3 separate regions of the Mus musculus genome follow, and regions 2 and 3 are each reported to be linked to region 1. The links are microRNA targets in miRTarBase. Many come from high-throughput screens and were not tested one by one. Region 1 holds a microRNA gene; each other region holds the end of a gene's coding sequence.

Region 1 (7,000 bases):
TCCTCCCTAGGTTTCCTTAAAGGGTTTCCTTGTATGTTGGGGGTCTTCCCCGGCTGGTCCTGGCCTCGACAGTCCTGTCTCCTATCCCCTTCTGACTCTCACGTGTTTCCTTGTTTCTGAATTGGTCTCTGTCCCTGTATGTCTCATACTCCCATTCTCCTGGGATTTGGGGAACAGTTGGGACGAGCCAAGTTGTGAGGATGGAGCCAAATACAGTCAGAGGAGGAAGCAACATGAGGCTGTGGAATCGACATACACCAAAGAGACACACCAAGACAAGCAGACACAGAGGTCCCTGGGGAGGTACTGGGAGGGCTGGGGACACTCAGGACCAACCACCAGGCAGGTACCATGGGACACTTAGTTCTCTGCCCAGCACCCCTGGTCAGCCCTCCCTTCCTGCCCTTCTGTAAGCCATACATCGCCCTGTGTCAAGTCAGTGCCATTTAGCATTTATTATCTATTGTGGGCACAGGAGGGAAGGGGACAATGGAAGAGCGGGAGACAAGAGGCTCCACCCAGGCCTAGAGAGAGACACCCAGTCCCATTCCAACATTGGAGAGATGACAAGTCTATCCCTTGGCCAAAGCAGGACTTGAGAAGTCCAAAGCCACAGGAGAGAGGGCCTCGCCCCATGCCTTTAGGGGAGAACCTGGCTATTTTTTTTTTTTTTTGTCTCCTCTGACCTTCCATACACCCCATACCAAACTGGGCATCCAATGTCATGACACCTGAGGTCTAAAGACGTTGGTCTCATAGGAATTCCCAGGAGGACTGGGGTGGAGACAGGTGTTCCCCATGTAGATGACGTCCTTGAATAAGAGGTGCTGCTCACCTGCTCTTCCTGGGACCCTAGGCTTTTCCCACTTGGAGATGATCCTGAAGAGCAGAAGGTCTCCTGGCTTGCCAGATACCTTGAAAATGCTGTCAAAAGTTCTCAGGGAAAAGCATCCTCTCATTCCGTGGGCTGTTTGTCTACGTCTCTCATCACGCCAGACTTGGGATACAGAGACCGCCATTGTCTCCCCACCTGGGACCTCCAGGAACTCCACTTCTCTGCTCAGGAGGTCGCTGGCCTCCACCATTTCTGGGCTCTCATTGGAGACTAGATGATGCTAAGAGCAGAAGAGCTATGGGACAATCAGGATGCTGTCCTTTCCCCCAAAAGCTCCTGGCCTGATGGGGGAGCCAGAGAGGGCAGTGTGGCAAGGTGATGACACACAGCACCGGGAAGGAGCATCCATCAAGTTGTGAGGGTCCGAGTGAGCAGACCATCACTGGCTCTCTCACCCACCCACTCTTGTCTGACCATATCTTTTCCTTTGGCATACTTCCCTTCCTGACACTGGTCCAGCTAGTCACTCGACATTCCTTTCTCCTGAGTGGACCATTATGTCTGACTTGCAGAGGCTTCTAGGCTTGCTGGGTCAAGCTCTGGTCCTATCTCCAAGGCCACATGAGAGGTGGGGTCGTAGACATTCAGGCTCATAGAAACCGGAGCAGGAGGCCAGCCAGTTCACCGAGACCCTTTCTCGGGGTATTGATTCCCAGAGTCTCTTCTTTCTTGTACACCCTGGGGAACAGTGTACCCAAGCTTCCTTGATGCCAAAACATCTCCCCAGACACAGCTCTGAGTCACAGATACTCACCACAGTCCCCAGTGACTGTCCCACTGTATTCAATTCAACTCTCATGGTCACAGAGGCAGGAAGGTTAGAGACCACAGGAAACCAAGATGACGGGAATTGTGAGGAGACTATGGTGACATGTATGGGAGCTGGGCCTTACTGGTTAGAAACCTGAGGGCTATGGGGACAGAGTGGTCCTACTGTGTGGAGGAGGCAACTGAAGATGGGTAGGGTGAGGAGAAGTCAAAGTCTGACCCAACTCAACTCATCTTAAAGCTTCCAGGCCAGGGCCATCACCTCCTCCCGATACTGGGCTCTTGTCTCCCTCCTCTTTCCATTTCCCTAATCTTTCCCTTCTAGACTGGAGAGTAGACTGTCAGTCTGAGAGGACTAACAACCCCTGCCTTCCCACCTGGCTGCTTCTCCTCCTTCCCACTCTCTATCACCACACTTGGCCCTGGATGGCTTTAAAGGGGTCAGTACAGTGGGAGTGCCTGGGGTAGAAGTTCAGCCTGGTTGGGGAGGAGTGGGAGGTCCAGGGGGGGACCAGCTATGGTAAGGGATGAGAGAAGCCAACAGTTGTCCCAAGGGTCCCCCTCAGGGAGTGGAGGTTCCCCTGGGAGGCGCCAGGACAGGCGCAGGTGTATTCTACAGTGCACGTGTCTCCAGTGTGGCTCGGAGGCTGGAGACGCGGCCCTGTTGGAGTAACAACTGAAGCCAGAGTCTTCGAAGGGTGGTGGGCTAAGGGGGAAGAGGGCATGGTGGGCAAAAGAAAGGGGGTGGGGGAGAGAGAAAAGGAGGACAAGGGGGCCCCTTCCTGTAGTACTTGGCTCTTGAGCTGCAGGTGGCTCCTTCCACGTGCCCCTGTGTCACCAACTCAACGATGGCCACAGCTCCTTTTCTCCTTTCTCACCCTTATGCCTCCTCTCCTTGGGGATCTTTCTTGTGGAGTCTCTTCATGTGGGGGTAGCATCCAGCTGTCCCCATGGCTACCCTCACTGGAGAAAGGATCTACCTTCCCTACATCCCGGTCTTTACACCCCTGTGCCTCTAAAGTGGGGTGAGTGAAAGGCACGTCTCAGGCCAGCAGCAGCTAGAAATTGGGGAGTTGGTAGTGCAAATTCATCAACCTCTTCCCAGACCAGCTGATGCAGAAATTCTGGGGTGGGGACAGCACTGTGTATTTCAACAGTCCTCCAGGTGACTCTGGGCCATGCCGTACTTTGGAAACCACTGAGGGACATCTGCAACCACAATCAGTACCTGAGAAAGGTACCTTCCCTTCCCCATAGCCAGAGTCACTCAGGGCTTATGAGGTGGCTCACTTGGCATCTGGGTTGCCCAACATCACCTAGTCTCTTTCCTTTCCTTTTGCTTCTGGCCCAGCTCAGCCTTGCTACTGGGAAGTCGTGGATGCAAGTGTTAGCACACACAAGCAGCTCTTGTAATATTTTCAGGTGACAGGTCTGTTAGAAACAGCTCTTTGGGCAGGTGGCAGGCGTGGGCGGTGGGGAGGGAAAGGAGCCACCTTCTCCTGCTTCCTCTGTTTTCTGCCTTGTGTCTGGGCAGCTGTGAAGAGCCAGAGAGGAAAACTGGGCTTCTGGACTTGGGCTTGGGCTAGGGACTTTCCTATTCTGAGTTTCAAGGAGTCCTCTTAAATAGTTATACTAAGTAACCTAGCTCTGGCTAATGGAGGTGTGCCCTGGGCATGGAGATAGATGCACTCCCCATTCTCCAGGAAAGATTAGGAAATGTGTGCATTGCTCTCCAGAACAAGAGGATGGAGACAGAGAGGGGGGCAGGTGGCATCTGCTCCAGGCTCCTGGTTTTCCCTACCGTGACCACTTTCTGGCACCTCTATTCATGGCTGCATTCTGTCTGTTGATGTTCTCCCCCCATGTTCTCAGGATGATTTCTTGGAGATCTGGGGGAGGAGTGGGCAGGAGAGACAGGAGTGATTGGGGTGGGGATATGCAGGAAAGAGAAGGAGGGTGGGCAGAGAAGCCTTCCCGGAGAGAGAGCCAGGATGTGGAGGTGGAAATGACATGGCAAGACAGGAGAGCAGTGTGTGACAGATGGACATCGCCTAGGGTATGATGGGGAGAGGCAGAGAAGCACTCGGAGGGACCAGAAGAGCCTGACCCAGAGGGATGGAAAAAAGCAGACAGGCAGAGGAGCTCCCAGGGAATCTCCCTTTGGAGGAAGATATCAGATTCCAGTCTGTGAGGTCAGCCCCTAACCTCAGGCCAGGAGGAGACACAGAGCAAGATGGATCGGCAGAAATGGTTCCAGGGTACAGTTTGGTTCTTACTCTGGAGTCCCATGTTATTACTTTCTTGTAGGGAGTCCAGGTGCCAGCAGCAGGGCGAGCAGATGGCAGGTTTGTGAGTTAGGAAAGTCATGGAGGGTTATAGATGCAGAATAAGACAGCATCTTCTGTCAGTGACCCCTTACTCAAGGCCATCTGTCCCTAAGGATGGCCCCAAAGGAGAGAAGACCAAAATTTCTGGTTTCATATGATCTTAGGAAGGAGTTAGAAGCAATTCAATCTGGGCCCTCTGCTCTCCCCAGTCGAACACACAAATGCTGATTCAGGCCCAGGTTTCAGAAAACTGGCAACCGCCCAGGTTTCAGAGAAACCCTGGTTCCAACAGCATTGTCCCCTTTCATGGTATCTAGGGAGAAAGACCAGCACACAGGAATGGCGCTGTCTGCGGTGCTGATGGCAGTCTCAGCCCACAGCAGCAGGTAGAGAGCCGCAGGTAAGGGAGCTGCAGAGAGCAAAAGAACTCTGTCCATTCTTCCACCTACTGTCCACAGACTACCACTGACCCTCCACCTATTTTCCTACCCACCCACCCACCCACCTACCCACCTGCCTCCCCTCCATTTCCTATCTCTTTACCCATTTGTCCACCCACCCACCCATTTCCCTTTTCCCTACCTATCTACCCACCTATCTGCCATCTAACTGCTCTAATCATCCATCTATCCATTGATTTTTCTCATCTGCTCATCTGTTCACATACCCACCATCTTCCCATTTTTTCAGTCTTCTATCTACTCATTTTCTACCCACTTGCCTATCTACTCATCCATCAACCCATCCATCCATCCATCCATCCATCCATCCATCCATCCATCCAGTCATGCACCCATCTACCCACCCACCTATTTTCCTAATTACTCACTCATCTACCCACCCACCCATTCCATGCATCCCTCCATCCACCTACCCAGTCACCCTCATCAAATTAGTCCATAAAACCACAGAACTAGAGGTGTCGCAGAGTGGAAAGACTCTTTTACATTCAGGAGGAAAACAAGGTTCAGAAGAGAAAGGGGTGTGTTCAAGGCCACATGGAGCTTCTGTCGTCAATCTGGGACAGGGCTGGAAATCATTGCTCTTGTCTATACGCCACAGGTTCTCCCCTGGGGTCTGGGAAATTGCCTGGTTGTTATGCTGATATTTTGATATTTACTCTGGTGTTTGTTCACAAAAGCTGCAAGGACAGGAAATGTGACAGCCTCCACCCACAATGAGCAAGGACTCTTGTGTATGTGCACACGTGCTATGTTCCCCCACCCCCGTGTGTGTGTGTGTGTGTGTGTGTGTGTGTGTGTGTGTGTGTCTGCCTGCATACTCCTAAATACTAGTCCTGACTGTACTCATTGGACGTATGACTGCATTTCTCTGTCTGTGCCTATATGAGCCATCTACATGGAGGTGTGAGCTAAGGTGTACACTTGACAGCCTGCCTATGTGGCACATGGTTGGGAGGGGGCGAGGGAGGACAGACAAACAAGTGGGTAAAAATGGCTGTTTTTCCCTCCCTTGAGAGTCCTGGGGTGCTAGGACTGTTTGAGGCTGGCTCCCTACTGTGCCTCCATTTCAGAAATTGCCCCATTTCCTCTTCACAGCTGCTCCCTCCCCCAAGGCTGCAGTTCTGTCCTGTGCCCAGGCAGGATTCGAATGTAACTCCCCTCCCCCAGCTGGTGTAGTGGAGGTTAAGTTACTCTCAGACCCTTGTGGTGGGGTGAGAGGTGGGTGTTCATTTGTGCAATTGGCATTTCAGCGAGCTGTACAGGCCCCTCTGAGTGGCCTGTTTCCTTCAATCGTTCCCACAGCTAACACCTCATTCTTGAGCAGGTCAGACTCCAAAGCAGATGGAGAGATGGCTGCCAAGCCCGGAGCCTCAACTCTACTAGTCTGCATCCTACTTACCCGGGCAAGGATGGAGAACCCCTCCTTGCTGGTGCCCCAACTCTCCCCAAGCTATCTTACCTCATTCCCTCTACCACCATCACCACCACCGCCATTTTCTTGCCCTTGGCCTAAAAAGGCACAGCAAACTGATCAATCAGAACAAAGGCCAGACAAGTAGCAACCAAATGGAGTAAAGGGCAGCTCAAGGCATCCACCAATCAAAGCAAAGGGCAGGTTGGGGAGCTGGCCAATCAGAACAAAGGACACACTGACTTCTCTAAGCCTTTGGGGTGGGAGATGGGAGTTGGGTGCTGTATATGCTCAGATAAGGAGGTTTGGGTAATCTCTGGCCCACCACAGATGGGCCATTGTTTTTCTTTGAGCCTCAGTTTCTTCATCCCTCAAATGGGGAGACAGCTACTGCAGCCTGTGGCTTCAGAAATTTCTCTTGCATGGAAGGCTTCCTGCATTGCAGTGGCTGCCATTCCCATTTCCCTAAGCACACCCATGGCAGATGTCACCAAAGTCAGACGCTCTCTGGGTCCCTCTTGGCAATCCTCCTGCCTTGAGACAGGAATAGAACTCCATGGACACCAAGACTTGGGGCCTTGTCCTTGAAGCTCCATTCTAGAGAGTGTGGGTCAAGAAAAAAATGTGGGGGGGGATTTTCTGGGTATGGAATCTTCCCTCTGTGGTCTTTAGCCTTAGGCTTGGAAGCACATAGAAGCCTGTGACAGTGCTGATGTGGGGGTCTCTGGTCTGCTACATGAGAAAGTAGCTGTTGCCATGAGAACCTAGAAGGGTTTGACATCATACTGGGTGTCTTCAAGGATATGGGGCTCTATGTAAAGGCAGCACTGATGCCTGAGGGTTGCAAGCAGGCAAACTTAGGGATTGTGTTGTCTGGAATCAACTGCTTCCAGGGTCCACAGTGGATAGATATCAACCATGACCAAGATGCAGTACACCCTGACAGGTGGGAGAGACCAAAGCAAGGTCTGGGCAGGGCAGGGAAGGCAATGCCTGCGATTCTCCCTCCCACTGGGAAAACAGCACGTGTGTGTGTGTGTGTGTGTGTGTGTGTGTGTGTGTGTGTCTGTAGCCAAGGAGACTTGGCAGTGGCATTTGGAGCTGACACCTGGACAAACCCCAGGCTTCACGCAGA
Region 2 (7,162 bases), not on the chromosome of region 1:
CTTAAAAGCACTAAACTGCCCATTTCTATTTTAGAGGCCTAAGTAGCTGTCTATAATCCTGTTCACCTCTAAGAATGTGTATGGTTTAAACAAATTCCTAAAAAGACTTTACTACCAGTTTATTCAGGCTTTGTCCCACACCTTTCTAAACCGATCGACCTGCCTTAGAGTAGAATTATGTGAAGTGGGGGTAAACATGTAGTGTGGGGTAGCACAGCATATGAAGGAAAACCCTGTGTTATGCCAAGATTAGATAGGTTACGTCATCTCATTAAATCAGTGTGTGGGGCTGGGTTGCTGTTCCGTGGTAGAGGTCTTACCTGATTCCGTTCCCACTTCTGCAGATCCTACTCAGGAGTGTGGCTTGGGTAAAGTTCTCTGGGCCCTAATGTTATGTACATGACATCACATCGGCATTCCATAGCTCAGAGTTCCCACAGAATTCAGTATTCTCCAGAAAGGTACCATAGCTTCTTTGCTGGGACTCTGACCTCTGCAGTGTGCTCCACTTAGACCTTTAACGATGCATTTAAAAAAACGTATCTTCAGATAACTGTGTTTTGTTTTATGCATTAGGATTTTATTTTTGTCTTACACTATAAACTGTTTGGGGTATCTTGGGAACGGGGTATATGGTGGAAACTGCATAAATATTTGCTGAATTAGTTAGGAAATCACTCATTTGAATACATTTTTTCTTGAGATTGAAGATTTTCCTAAAAAAAAAATGTGTCCTTTAAACTTCCTGTCATAGGGCTGGGATTGCAGCTCAGTGGTAGAGTACTTGCCTAGCAGGTGCAGGTGCAGGGCCCTGGGTTCAAACACCAGCACCACAAATAAAGAAAACAAAAATACGGGTGGGATATAACTTGTTCTTGAAAGTTTAGAGAGATAATGATGATAAAAATACAGGTATATATATTTACCTGTATTAAAAGACATACACTATGGGCTGGAAAGATGGCTCAGCAGTTAAGAGCACTGACTACTCTTCCTAAGACCCTGAATTCAATTCCCAGCAACCACACGATGGCTCACAACCATCTGGAATGAGATCTGATGCCTTCTTCTGGTGTGTCTGAAGAGGGCAGCAGTGTACTCACATATGTATAATAAATAAATCTTTAAAAAATAAAGATATACATAATTATCTTCTAATCTTATAATTAACACACCAGTCTTATCATCTAGCTTTATTTGTAAACTTCATAAGAGATGAATGTATTGTGTGACAGTTAAAACATTTTGATTTTGTTTGCAGCAACGTGAGCTGGAGGAATTGCAACTACAGCAAAGGCGGCAGGGCTGCATCAATGAGATTATTGAAGAAGAGAGGCTGAGACTCCTCAAAGAACATGCTGCAAAGTTACTAGGCTATCTCCCCAAAGTAAGTGACACTGACCTTAGTGTGTGAGCCTCGTCCTACTGGAGAAAACAACGGCGCTGAAGCGTGATTCTAGAGTCAGAGGGAGTAACTTCATGCTGTTGTTTGTTGGTGAAGCACTGGGACCCAGGCAGAGTTGATACCTATCGTCCTTTTTAAATGCCTCGATAGCAAGAGCTTGTCCTGGAGCATTACTAGTGATCTGAGCTAGAGTTATCAAGATTGAGTATTTATTCATTTATTTATTTATTCATTTATTTACTTTTTGAGACAAGGTGTAGCCCAGGCTGGCCTGGAACTCCCTATGAAACAGAGGATGACCTTGAACTTGTGGTCCTCCTGCTTCTCCTCCTGCAGGCTTGTGTTACTTTGCCAAGCTTCTGTGGGGCTGGGGATCTAACCTAGAGCCTTGCTAGGCAAGTGCTCTATGTAGTGACCTATATCCCCAGCCCCTGAGCTAACACTTTTGAGGCTCTTCATCTGCTTGTTGCATGGGAAATCTGAAACAAACTACCCTAGAGCAACTATAAAAGGGTAAACATGAAGATAATGAGAGACATGAAGCCTTGTCATGGGTGAACACATGCTAGACATGAGTCTGAGCCGAGTCTGCTCTGTGGGAAACTGATTGTAAGTAGGTACTAGGCAGCCTCAACTATTGAGAGCTATTCCAATAGGCAATGAATTTTCATGTATAGTATTTGAGACACATTGTGACTGCTAATAATTAGCTTCCTTATCCATATAAACATGGAGATTCATAAAGCCACAGTCCTTCAAATATATGAGTCATATTGCTTGAAGTCTTTATTGACTATGCAGAATCAAGTGTGTTCAGTCCCTAACCAATGAAAGAAAAAGGAAAATTATTAAAAGTTGCTAGCCGTAGTGTATTAAAGTCTAATTAGTTAGGTAGATTTAAATACGCATGATAGCCTGATGCCAAAATTCACCCATGATTGGTATATTTAATAAAACAGACTATATATATGCTGAGAGGGCCTTTGGACTTCAACATCTGAGTGGAGAAAATACTTCTGGAGGGCAGCCGGGACCCGTTAAGAGTAAAATTCAGTGTCTCAGAATGAGCCGCTGATAGACTGAGGCAGAAAGAGTGCGTCCGGACAGTAGCCTGTAATGTAGGCAGTCACGGCCGGAGTTAGAGCATAAGGCACAGCAGCCCCTAGCACAGCTTAATACTCTGAGGTTGAGTAATCAGGAACTGGGAGCAGCTCAGTGATATTCAGATATACTTGAAGCCATAGTCTTTCTGATATTTTAAAATTAAGTTTCAATAATCGATCTCATTATCTGCATTTCTTCATTAGCTTCATGTCTGTGTGTGTTAGTCCTAAGAAAATTCAGTGAAATACTCTAATGTTCAAAGTAACCAACAAAATGCTTCTTTGTAGGGAGTGTTTAAAAGAGAAGACGATGTTGACATGCTTGGTGAAGAGTTCAGGAAGGCCTATCAGAAAAGGGATGGAGTCTGAAGCCGAGTCTTCATAGCAAGGCCGGGCGAGACCTGGAGTGCTCAGATGCTGCCACTAGATGTCAGCGTAACTGCTGTTTTACAGTTGGTGACAGTAGGCCCTGGTCTATCTGCATGTTCTAAAACATCCTCCTATTTCATCATGTATACAGTTTGACAAAAATTAAACACATTAGTACTTTAACTGCAGAATTAGTCATTTTTATTTACTATGCATTCTATGATGCCATCATATCACAGAATTCCACAGAACCAGAGGCCAAACACAGCAGCTCACTACAGGGAGACGACAGACCTCTCTGGGCAGTATGTAAGACACTTTTCTAATTCATAAACATTAAACAGCTATTTACTTCTCTCAAGTTTCTGTCATCAATATTTTGTAGTTTTCAATACAGCCATCTTCAATCTCCTTGGTAAAATTTAGTCTAAAATGTTTTTGTTAGATACTACAAATGGGGTACTGTAGATTTTCTCTGATATTCTGCCACTGATGTATAAAAATGCCACTACTTTGGCTTGTGCTATGCTAGGGACTGGATCTGGGGTCTCATACATGTTCTGTAAGTGCTCTGCCACTGAGCTACAGCTCAAGGCTTTCATTTGTGCTGTCAGTCTCCTGATGTGTGCCTATTGGTTTTCTTACCTTGTAACTTTACTCAGTTGATTTGATCTCAACCATTTTTCATAATGGACAACCCAACTTCTTTGTTCCCAGACTTCATATTTTTCTTTCTCTTGCTGGTTATATTTGATTAGCATTTCTGCTAAGATTAAAAAAATATTTTACGAGCCGGGCGTGGTGGCGCACTCAGGAGGCAGAGGCAGGCGGATTTCTGAGTTCGAGGCCAGCCTGGTCTACAGAGCGAGTTCCAGGACAGCCAGGGCTACACAGAGAAACCCTGTCTCGAAAAACCAAAAAAAAAAAAAAAAAATTTTACATGTGCTTGCCTGCATATATGTGTACTAGATGTCTGCAGAGCTCAAGAATGCCTCAAGACGGTGTCCTAGCCTCTGGAACTGGAGTTACAGATGACTGGGACCATACGCACGGTGGGAACCAAACCTGGGTTCTCTGCAAGAGCAACTAGTGCTCTTTTGGGGAGGTTTTGGAGAGGGTGGAAACAGAGTTTCACTGTGTGGGCCTGGCTGTCCAGGCTAACCTCGAACTCACAGAAATCTTCCTGCTTCTACCTCCTGAGTGCTGGGATTAAAGGCGTGTGCTCTCTGCCTAGCCATTGCTCTTAACTGTCTGATTTCAGGTCTTATAGGGATGGGCAACCTGGGATGTGATTAATGCAGACCACTACAAATAGCAAACTTAAAATGTTATACAAAATTCATTTTTTTAATTTGTAATTCTGTTGCATAGTCTTTCAGTATGAACTCTGAAGATCACAATATCATGTCACAATATAAAAGGATTGGATACACAAATACGTGGGGCTAAGCTTCAGCTTTTCCCTGTTCAGTGTGTTGGCTGTGGGTTTGTCACATATGACTCACGTTACAGCACATTCCTTCTGTAACCTACTTTGCTGACAGTTTTGTCATGAAGTGTTGCTCAGTCTTGGGCTTTTCTCTCTACTGAATTTACAAACCTTTTCTTCATTCTGTCAGTGTGACATGCTTACTGATTTGAATGTCAAATCATCTAGGTTGAATCCCACTGCATCGTGATGAGGGATCTTTTGATGTATAGAAGTTGTTTGCTGGTGTTCTGGGGAGCATTTCTGCATCTGAGTTGATCAGAGATACTGGACTATGGGAGTTGTTGGCTTGGTTTTGTTTGTTGCTCTTGCATGATTTCGGTATCAGGATGAGCATACTTGAATGTGGAAATGTCTTTATGTCACTGTTTTGGAATAGTTTGAGAAGAACTGCCAATCTTTAAATGTTTGGTAGAAGCTGGCAGTGAAGCCGTCAGGTCCTGTGTTTTTCTTTGAGGAGATTTATTTTTTTAAATATTTATTTTTATTTTATGTGTATCCCTGAGTGCATGTCTATGTATCCCGTTTGTGCAGAGGTCAATGGAGGCCAGAAAAGGGCCTTGAACCCCTAGAGCTGGAGTTAAAGGTGGCTGTGAGCAGCCCTGTGGGTGCTGGGAACTGAATTTGGGTCCTCTGCAATAGCAGCAATGCCCTCCGTAACCACTGTGCCATCACACCAGCTCCCAATAGAGCTTTTTATTATGGATTTGATCTACTTGATCTCCCTTCTTACTATGGGTGTGTCCAGGTTTTTCTATCTTAGTTAATTCTTGGTAGTATATCTCCAGAAATTAAACATTCTGTGTTATCCAAATTGTTCATAATCACTTATACTTATGATCCTTTGGTACAGTAAGTGTGTCCCTGTTTCCATCTCTATTTTGTCTCCTGTGTGCACAACCACTGAACAAGAGAACACACACATAGCCCCTGCACAACAGCCTCTGGTCCCAGCCTGCATCACTGCTGTTGGATGCAGCAGCCGTGCACAGCACACAGGCCTGCAGCAGACTCAGCAGCTGCAGCTGGGGATCTCCAGAATCTTGCCCTGCCATCTTCTCTGTCCTCTCCCAGGTCTAGTAGGTCATAAAAGATAATTAAGAGTCGAAGTCTTGCTTCCTTATTTCATAACTACTAATGAAAAAGGAAGTCAGGCCAGAGTTGCCGTCTGGCTTTGTCTTCCAACATCCTCCCAAACATTCTGTTTATTTCACCAGGTCATTATCTAACTCTTTTATTTCACAAATGTTCTTATTACTCATGAACAGCAAGAAGACTACACTTGATATCAAATGAGCATCCCATTGCAGTTGCTCACTCATGAACTGCCCCACTCAAGAGCCTTCATAAACTCCTCCTCGCTGAAAGACAGCATCTTGGCAGCTTCAATATGCATCTGTTTTTAAAAAATATATATTGTTCAATTTAGAGATGGACACACAACAAAAGAAAATTTGTTTGTGTTAATATGCTATCAAAAAAATAAGCTATTGTTGGATTATACATACTAACCATGCAAGTGTAACACTTTAAATTGATATTACATGAAGACCAAGCTACTGTTAAAAGAATAATTTGATATCATTATACCTGATCTTTGTAACGAGAGAGGGCTGTGAATTGTCTTTTTTCATGTTTCAAGAAAGATACAATGTGTTTTAGAATTACTGCTCAAAGTTTGAAGAGGAAATTAATCCACTAAAATTAGTCATTCTCATGAATGGTACTTTCTGTAGTTGGGAGGGAATATATATACAAACATATCTGTGTATGTGTGCGCGTGCGTGCGTGCGTGCGTGTGTTTTAAACCAGTGAACCTCACTATGTATTACACAGATGTGACTTCACACGTATACAGTGCATCTTTAGATACAATTTTATGTGTAAGATTATAAGCAAAGTAAAAACAAACTTTTTGGCAGAACGGTCTGTCTGTAGTGTATCTGAGATACAGCGTCTATTGTTAGACTCACCTTCTGCCTTTTCAAAATGTCAATCAATTTCAACTGCTTCTTGAACCCTATCATTAATTCTCCTTTTTGTCTTTCTAGTTTTTTGTTTTCTGATTTCAACACTTCAATTTTTTGATGGTCTTCATTTGTAATATCCTATGAAAGCAAATAAAAAAAATTTTAGTTGAAATATAACATTGTTCTTTATATTACTAAATAATTTCAGTCAGCTCTTTAAAAATATTTTTAAAATTAACTTTCAATTCTAAAAAAATCTATAAACCTAAACTTGACAGAACATAAGACTTTTCAGTAGCAGAATTTGCACATGGTATGGTCGTTTGAGGTAAGAGCCACATATTCCACTATCATTCCTAGCAAGACTTTCCACTGTACAGGTTTACAGTGGTCCTGCTGGGCTCGAGACAGAGAACAGGACTGTGAGATACTGCATCGAGTTGGAGATCCAAGAACGAGCCCCACATTTTACCCACACACTTTCTTTAAAGCACTGGCAGACAGAAGTATTATGTCTGGAGTGAGAGTCTCAGAAGCCTGTGAAAGACTTATTCTACAGAGCTGGTCAGAGAACTCATCCGCAGCAATAACAAGGACACCAAATCTGAACTCTCAGAAAAGATGGAACAGTAGAAGTTACTAGGTCCAGGAAGGTTCTGTGTTTGCCGTACTGAAGAGAAGGTTTCACAAAAGGAGTAAGACAGCAGAAGGAGCTAAGATTCCACACACACTTCTTAAAAGAGGAAACCAGGCATCTTGTGTTCAGGTTTATCTCTAAAGACATGTGAGGGATGGAAGAAGATAATCCACAGAAATAGTAGCCAAA
Region 3 (7,162 bases), not on the chromosome of region 1:
TCTAGAAGCACAGTCTCATGTCATTGTGGGTTTGGCTTTTAGTCTGCCGTGAGCCAGCAACGGCTATAGCTCACAGACCGCACACTGGAGGGGCAGCCCCATGTGGCCCGCGGAACTTTTCTCTCTGTGTTTTGTTCTTCACAAGCTTGGTAAGCTGGCAGTGGGTAGGAACTCCTGCCGGCTCTAAGCCATGCCTATCTCCTGCAGACTCCCAGAGTGTACGGAGGGGGCACCAAGCTTTCTCCTGGAGTGTGACAGCTCCGTGCTGGGCGCCCTACAGAAGCACCTCTCCATGTACAAGATCCGGCGGAAGGTCACCGTGGAGCCAAGTCCGGAGCTCCACGTGTGGGCTGTGCTACCCTGTGTCCCCCAAACCTCTGAGACTGCACCTCTAGAAGAGAGGGTAGAAGGCACCACCATGCTTATCCGTGACCCCCGGACTGCACGTATGGGGTGGCGGCTTCTCACCCAGGATGATGGCCCAGCCCTGGTGCCCAGGGGACAGCTTGGGGATCTCCAAGATTATCACAAGTACCGGTACCAGCAAGGTATGAGTAGGGACAGCTATGCCAGGCTGGGGTTGGGAGGTTCATGGGGGCAGGTGGACTCCAGAATGGGCAGAGGGGTTGGTAGAGTTGGCCTGCAGGGCTGGGCTTTATAAACTGCAGGCCTGTTCTTCTCTCTGGACACGGCTATGCTCATTCTCTTGGTTTTTGAATCCCACAGGCATCCCCGAGGGAGTCTGTGATCTTCCCCCAGGGATGGCCCTCCCCCTGGAGTCCAACCTGGTCTTCATGAATGGCGTGAGCTTCACGAAGGGCTGCTACATTGGGCAGGAGCTGACGGCCCGGACCCACCATACAGGTGTCATCCGCAAGCGCCTCTTCCCAGTGAAGCTTGAAGGCCCCCTGCCTGCAAGTGGCGTCAGCCCTGGCGCCATAGTGACGGTGACTGCCACAGGCCAGGCAGCGGGCAAGTTCAGGGCTGGCCAGGGACACGTGGGACTGGCTTTGCTGCGGTCAGAGACAATCAAGGGTCCTCTCCACATCAAGACCTCCGAGAGCCAGTTGGTGGCTGTGACTGCCGTGGTGCCGGACTGGTGGCCCACAGCTGCCAAGTAGCTTGGATGCTCTGGAGCCCCACTGGCCTTAGAGTTTCCAGATGCCTTTGAGCCTCTGCCCAAGGTTGTCTACTCTCTGTGCTGCGCCTGTTGGGTATGAGTTCCTCCTCCCGTGGTGCCTTCTGGAGCACATCCTCTAGGAAAGTTCCATGGGTTCCAGGCTACAGATCGGCTCATGCTTCCTACAGAGAGCCTACTCTTATGGGCTGTCTTCTCTCGAGAAGTCTGACTGAGAGCAGAGTGACCACCTGAGGCTGGGAGAGAGAAGGGTCTGAGCTCCCATTTGGACCAGCTTCTGAACAAGATTTGAGACAGTCCATATGCCAGGTCTACAGGCCTATGTTGACATAGGCCTGTGTCAGACGCCAGGTCCCTGACCTTGTTTCCCCTTGGAGGAAGGGACTCTGTGTGCCTGCAGAGTTGCTGGGCCTGGCTTCGTGTTCTCTTGAAACTCATCTCAGGGCAGAGATTGTATAGGTTGTGTGCAGGGTCGGGAGGTTGGATCCCCTGGGTTGAGAGATGTGTTCTGTGAGCCACAGGGACTACATGCCTACTGTCCCAAGAGCTCTTTTCACGCCTCAAAGTGAGCTGCTGTCTTTTCATGTTCCCCTGGAAGCTCTAGGAGGGGTGGAGCCCAGGGCTCAGGTCCATCTGGGGGGGAGGGGAGGGCTTCTGCTCGGCTAACGTTTTTGCTGGCTTGGGCTTTTAGAAGGGAGTTACTTGCTGGCCACTGGTGGGGTGCATACCTCCCTCTGAACCACTTTTTCTAACCTTTGTAATGTGAACTGAGGGTCTCGCCACAAAGCCCAAGGACTAGTAAAGTGTGGTCTGAGAACAGCCCTTTCAGACCTCTTGTTTCATTTGGGTCAGGTTTGGTAGGACAGACCGTGGGACAGCTGTCCCCAGAGACCACCCACCAGATGGAAGCAGCCCACTGTTATAGCCCTGGTTGGTCTTGAACTTGAAATTCTCCTGCCTCAGCTTTGTGAGTGTTAGATTGATAGGCAAGCCCCAGTGGGCTCACACGATACACCTATGTCTCTCTCAAGAGATGTATTTTGTTTTTATGTCTTTATGTGTGTGTTTATGGATGAATGTCTGGGTGCCTAGAGAGGACAAAAGGAGGGTATCACATACCCTGGAGTTGGAGTTACAGGTGACTCTGAGTTGCTGAACATGCGTGTGATGGGAACTGAACTTGTATCCCCTGCAAGAGCAGCAGTATTCTTTGTTGTTTGTTTGTTTGTTTCTTTGTTTATTTGAGGCAGGATTTTTCTGTGTAGCCCTGGCTATCCTGGAACTCACTCTGTAGAACAGGCTGGCCTCGAACTCACATAGGTCTGCCTGCCTCTGCCTTCCAAGCACTGAGGTTAAAGGCAAGTGTCACCACTATGCCTGGCTAGATCCAATAGGTTTATTTCAGCAGAGTTCTACTGAACTGGTCCATACTAGGTTGGCAGGAAGTGGGGAGGCCGCTGTGAGCCTAGGCAAGGCAATGGGTGCTCAGGGTTCTGGGGTGGGGGGATGGGGACATCTCTGAAACTGTTTTCTACAGTGCCCCCAAGGTAAATCCACAGAGGCCTGGGGTGTGGGCAGCCTGGCAGTCACTCTGGTGCCAGGGGCAGTGAGGACTTCTAAGAACTGTGACTTTGGAGGCTGCTTAGGCTAGGGCTCAAGGTGCTCTCTGAATTGAGGTGCAGTTTGCCGCAGCTTAGAAGGAGGCACGGGGGGTTGGGAGTGCCCTCCTTCTTCAGCAAGAAGAAGGCACCTTGAGTGACCTCCTCTCTATGGTACTGAGTGGGTAGACAGTGCTGGGGACAGGGACCTGGCAGAGACAACCTGAAGGATGGATTACCCTGGCTGGCGATTTCAGGGGGTTCATGGCAGTGGGAGTGTGGCTGAGCCCCTCACATGGTAAGGCACCAGGAAGCAGAGAAAGGGCATCTAAAGGCAGGTACATCCTTCAAGCAGAAGGACAGACTTCACATTCCACAGGTTCCACTGCCTTCCAAGCAGCACCAGCTGCTGGGGACCACAGTGAGGTCAAAGGTGAGTTCATGGAGGACGGTTCACAACCAAAGCACAATACTTGAAGCACACACATAGGCTGTGCAGGTCCTAGCATGGCGGACAGACCCAGCTGTCCTGCTTGGATGGTTGCCTGGCCTGGCCTATGACAGCCTTGTCTCCGTGGCTGTTTTGCCTCTGCCTGCCTGCCCACTCAGGAGCAATACTGCGGTTGCGTTGGATGTTGGGGTTCCAGCTGTGCTCTGGAAGGCTGTGACTGATGGGCTCCTGCCAACCCCACCTGGCAGCCTTTTAGATTGACAGAGGAACCTCTAAGGGTTCCAGGCAGCTTACTTTAGGGTTGCAGTCATGTGACTGGCTTTTGCCCTCTCAAACCTGATGGGGGCGTGCCCACACAGAGGTTGGTGCTTCTGGGCCTGCTTCACATACATTCTAGCCTTCAGAAGGAAGGCAGAAAGGTCCAAGGCAGGCCCGTTGGGTAAGGAAAGGACAAGTCCGAAAAGAGGCAGGATGCTGCTTTGGGCAGAAGACCCGCTTTGTGAGTCACCCATTGCCTGCTGTTGGGCTCTTCCAGTGTTGGGGGCTTGAACAGATCCACAGTTGCCATGATGTGTCTCCACAGTTTAGAAAGGCAGCACCGCACATTAAAATCGCCAGTGAGTGGAGCCAGTGGGCACTGGGCTGATCTTCAGGGACCTCAGGGCCATTCTTAGTGATGCAGGCATGTGTTGGTATTCACATTCTCACAGGGATCTGTATAGACCCCAGTGTGGACACTTGAAAACCCCTAACTGTTTTTCAGTGTGTTTTGTAAACAGTACAAAGCTTTGAAAAATAAACCAATCAAGGGGGGAAAGGGTGTAGATCTTATTCTGGAGTTGTTTGTTTTTTAAAACTACCTCTAGTGCCGGGCGTGGTGGCGCACGCCTTTAATCTCAGCACTCGGAAAGCAGAGGCAGGCGGATTTCTGAGTTCGAGGCCAGCCTGGTCTACAAAGTGAGTTCCGGGACAGCCAAGGCTACACAGAGAAACCCTGTCTCGAAAAAACAAAACAAAACAAAACAAAACAAAACAAAAAACCTACCTCTAAACCAGGTTTTAGGGAATGCTTTTCTAGGATACAGGGTCTCAAAGCCTTTAACACCACGACCTGTCTTGGTCTCTGTTGAGGTGGTAGGTCAGGAGTGACCTTGGGAAAGGCCCCTAGAACCTATGAGGCCAGAAGGCAGGAGGAAACGGTAAAATTTGCCTCTGCCGGGGTCAGAGTGAGGGGCACAGGTGATTTAGGTGATGTTGGTGGGCCCAAGCTGTAGGGGTGACTCCCGATCACTGGGCACCTGGCTTGCCAGGAAGAGGTTGAAGTCTGCTTATCAAAGGGGTGGGGGCAGGCTCTGAGCTAAAGCCAGCAACACTAGGAGCAGACTAGCCTGGGGAGAGCAGGCTCGTCCTTGCCAGGGGAGTTTCATGTGCCAGACAGAACCTCACAGTATACTGGGGACACTCCACACGTGCTCACCTGAATCCTATGAGAACGGGCCAGCAGCAGAAAGACAGGCCCACACATTTTAAGACAGAGTAACAGGGCACATCATATAAGATATATGTGGAATATATTAGGTAAAGGATTTATATTTGAGTAAGCGGGAGAGGGACTAGTGATTAGCTGAGGCGGGAGGGAGGAGAGAGATGGGTTAACAGGCACAAGGTCACAGCAGCTGGGGCAAACATTCTCTTCTAGTATGTGGAAGGGTACAGTGAGCAGACAGTGACACTAGTCACATCATTCAAAATAGCTGGAGGAGCGTGCCGCATGTCCTCATCACACAGGAATGACAACTGTGTGATGGCGTCACCCAACCACCTTGAGTTGATCATCGAACAGCGTATACAATGCTTCAGCTGTCACACACTGAGCTCTGAAAGGCCTGGTGACTGACTGGCTGCTGGGTTAAAAGTTAGGTTTGAGAAGGGGTGGGGGTGAGGGTGAGGGGAGGCTGCTAAACAGATCAAGCACAATTGTAAAACGACAAGTTCTAAGGTGAAAGTGGGAAAGACGTGCCAAGCACATGCCCGTGACTCTGGCACATGGGACAGGCAGGGGGATGAGGATTCAAGGCCAGCACAAGGGCTATGTAGACCTTGACTGGAAAAAATGCTCCCCCAGAAGGAAGTCTGTGGGATGTGTTTTCTGGAGAATTCGGAGCTGGGAATCACTGAGCCTCAAGAATGATTGTCCTGGGGTGGGAGAGATGGCTCAGCGGGTAAGAGTACTGACTGTTCTTCCAGAAGTCCTGAGTTCAATTCCCAGCAACCAACCACATGATGGCTCACAACCATCTGTAAAGGGATATGATGCCCTCTTCTGTTGTGTCTGAAGACAGCTACAGTGTACTCACATACATAAAATATACTTACGTACATTAAATAAATAAATCTTTAAAAAAAAAAGATTGTGCTGGAGTGCGGAGAAGACAGGAGAGTGTGAGCTAGGATAAGGGACAGGAACTCAGTGTAATACAGACAGCATACGGTGACTTAAATAGTTCCGGAAGCACAGGAGGGAGAGCACGGTCAGGGTGTAATCTAAATTATATTGGTAAATTGTCACGGGCTAGCGGAGTTTGTTGGAAGTGGGTTCTGGGAGTCAGGAGGGTCTCCTTATCCTAGACTAGGTTTTTTTTTTTTTTAAAGATTTATTTATTTATTTATTTATTTATTTATTTATTTATTTATTTATTATGAGTACACTGTAGCTGTCTTCAGACACACCAGAAGAGGGCAGTAGATCTCATTACAGATGGTTGTGAGCCACTTTGTGGTTGCTGGGATTTGAACTCAAGACTTCTGGAAGAGCAGTCAGCCCCTTCCAGAAGGGGCTCTGTTCCTTTCCTTCTCGTCTTTATTGCTTGCCGTAAAGGTGTATGTATGTATGTATGTATGTATGTATGTATGTATGTATGTATGTATGTATGTATGTATGTTTGTGGGTACACTGTAACTGTACAGATGGTCGTGAGTCTTCATGTGGTTGTTGGGAATTGAATTTTAGAAACTCTGCTTGCTTCTGTCAACCCTGCTCGCTTAGTCCCTGCTCATTCTGGCCCAAAGATTTGTTTATTGTTATAATTAAGTACACTAGCTGTCTTCAGACAGCACCAGAAGAGGGCATCAGATCTCATTACAGATGGTTGTGAGCCACCATGTGGTTGCTGGGATTTGAACTTAGGACCGCTGGAAAAGCAGTCAGTGCTCTTAACTGCTGAGCCATCTCTCCAACTCTATTGCTTGCCTTAAAAATCAGTCAATCAATCAATCAATCAATCAATCAATCAAGCAAGCAAGCAAGCAAGCAAGCAAGCAAGCAAGCAAACAACAACAACAACAAACCAGGGTCTTACTTGTCTAGTACTGGCCTTGAAGTCACTATATAGCTGAAGATGACCTTGAATGTCTGAAACTCCAGAATCCTCTCCTCAGTGCTGGGTGACAGGTGTGCACCACTGCACCCGGTTTTTGAGGTGCTTTCTGCATGCTAGACAAACACTCCTGAGCTTCTGATGTGGCCCTGTCAGCAGCCAGCCTGACCATAGACAGGCAGGTCAGCACACAGAACAGGACAGAGAGCCATGGGCGCAGCGTGGGTGTAGCTCACAGTGAACCCTGAGCTTAGAATCCTCAGTCTCCAAGCAGTATGTGATGAGCTGCGTGTCTGGTCCTTTGTGGCTATGGCTCCAAATCTCCACCATAACCCCCCAGCTAGACCTGATCCAGGGGCTTTGTGGTCTTGGCCTGCTCAGACAGTCACTTCAAGATGTTATTAGGGTGGTGACAGTCTAGTCCTCATGAGCATGGAGCTGGTGTTCTTCAAGGTGCGAGGAAAGTCAAAGGGTTCCATGTTGCACATTTTTGAAATTGCAGAGAATATTTGTCTAAGAAAGTACCATGACACACACATGGATGTAGAGGATAACTTTTAGGAATTGATTCTTTCTTTTTAATGTGAGTCCCGGGGTT

The links. Region 1 holds the annotated microRNA mmu-miR-139-5p (UCUACAGUGCACGUGUCUCCAG, at 2,276-2,297, shown strand). A microRNA usually pairs through its seed, bases 2 to 8, with sites in the 3' UTR of a target mRNA and lowers its output. Matches are read on the target gene's strand: a 7mer-m8 pairs with bases 2 to 8, a 7mer-A1 pairs with bases 2 to 7 and ends in A, and an 8mer does both.
Region 2: the mRNA of Tex9 is a reported target of mmu-miR-139-5p. Seed matches in the 3' UTR shown: 7mer-A1 at 3,734-3,740.
Region 3: the mRNA of Iba57 is a reported target of mmu-miR-139-5p. Seed matches in the 3' UTR shown: 7mer-A1 at 2,427-2,433.

What each region holds. Positions count from the first base shown.
Region 1 is chr7:101,473,107-101,480,106 of GRCm38, forward strand. Mir139 (microRNA 139) reads left to right here and starts at 2,270; the gene lies at 2,270-2,337. All of the region lies in intron 1 of Pde2a (phosphodiesterase 2A, cGMP-stimulated), which reads left to right.
Region 2 is chr9:72,455,517-72,462,678 of GRCm38, forward strand. Tex9 (testis expressed gene 9) reads right to left here. Exons shown (of 12, transcript NM_009359.4): 11 at 6,340-6,474; 12 at 2,539-5,762. The coding sequence ends at 5,685. It overlaps Mns1 (meiosis-specific nuclear structural protein 1), which reads left to right. Exons shown (of 10, transcript NM_008613.3): 9 at 1,262-1,387; 10 at 2,797-3,060. The coding sequence ends at 2,877. Among named protein-coding and RNA genes, the nearest start is that of Mns1, 21 kb to the left of the region's middle.
Region 3 is chr11:59,152,224-59,159,385 of GRCm38, reverse strand. Iba57 (IBA57 homolog, iron-sulfur cluster assembly) reads left to right here. Exons shown (of 3, transcript NM_173785.6): 2 at 208-548; 3 at 727-4,017. The coding sequence ends at 1,121. Among named protein-coding and RNA genes, the nearest start is that of Iba57, 7.9 kb to the left of the region's middle.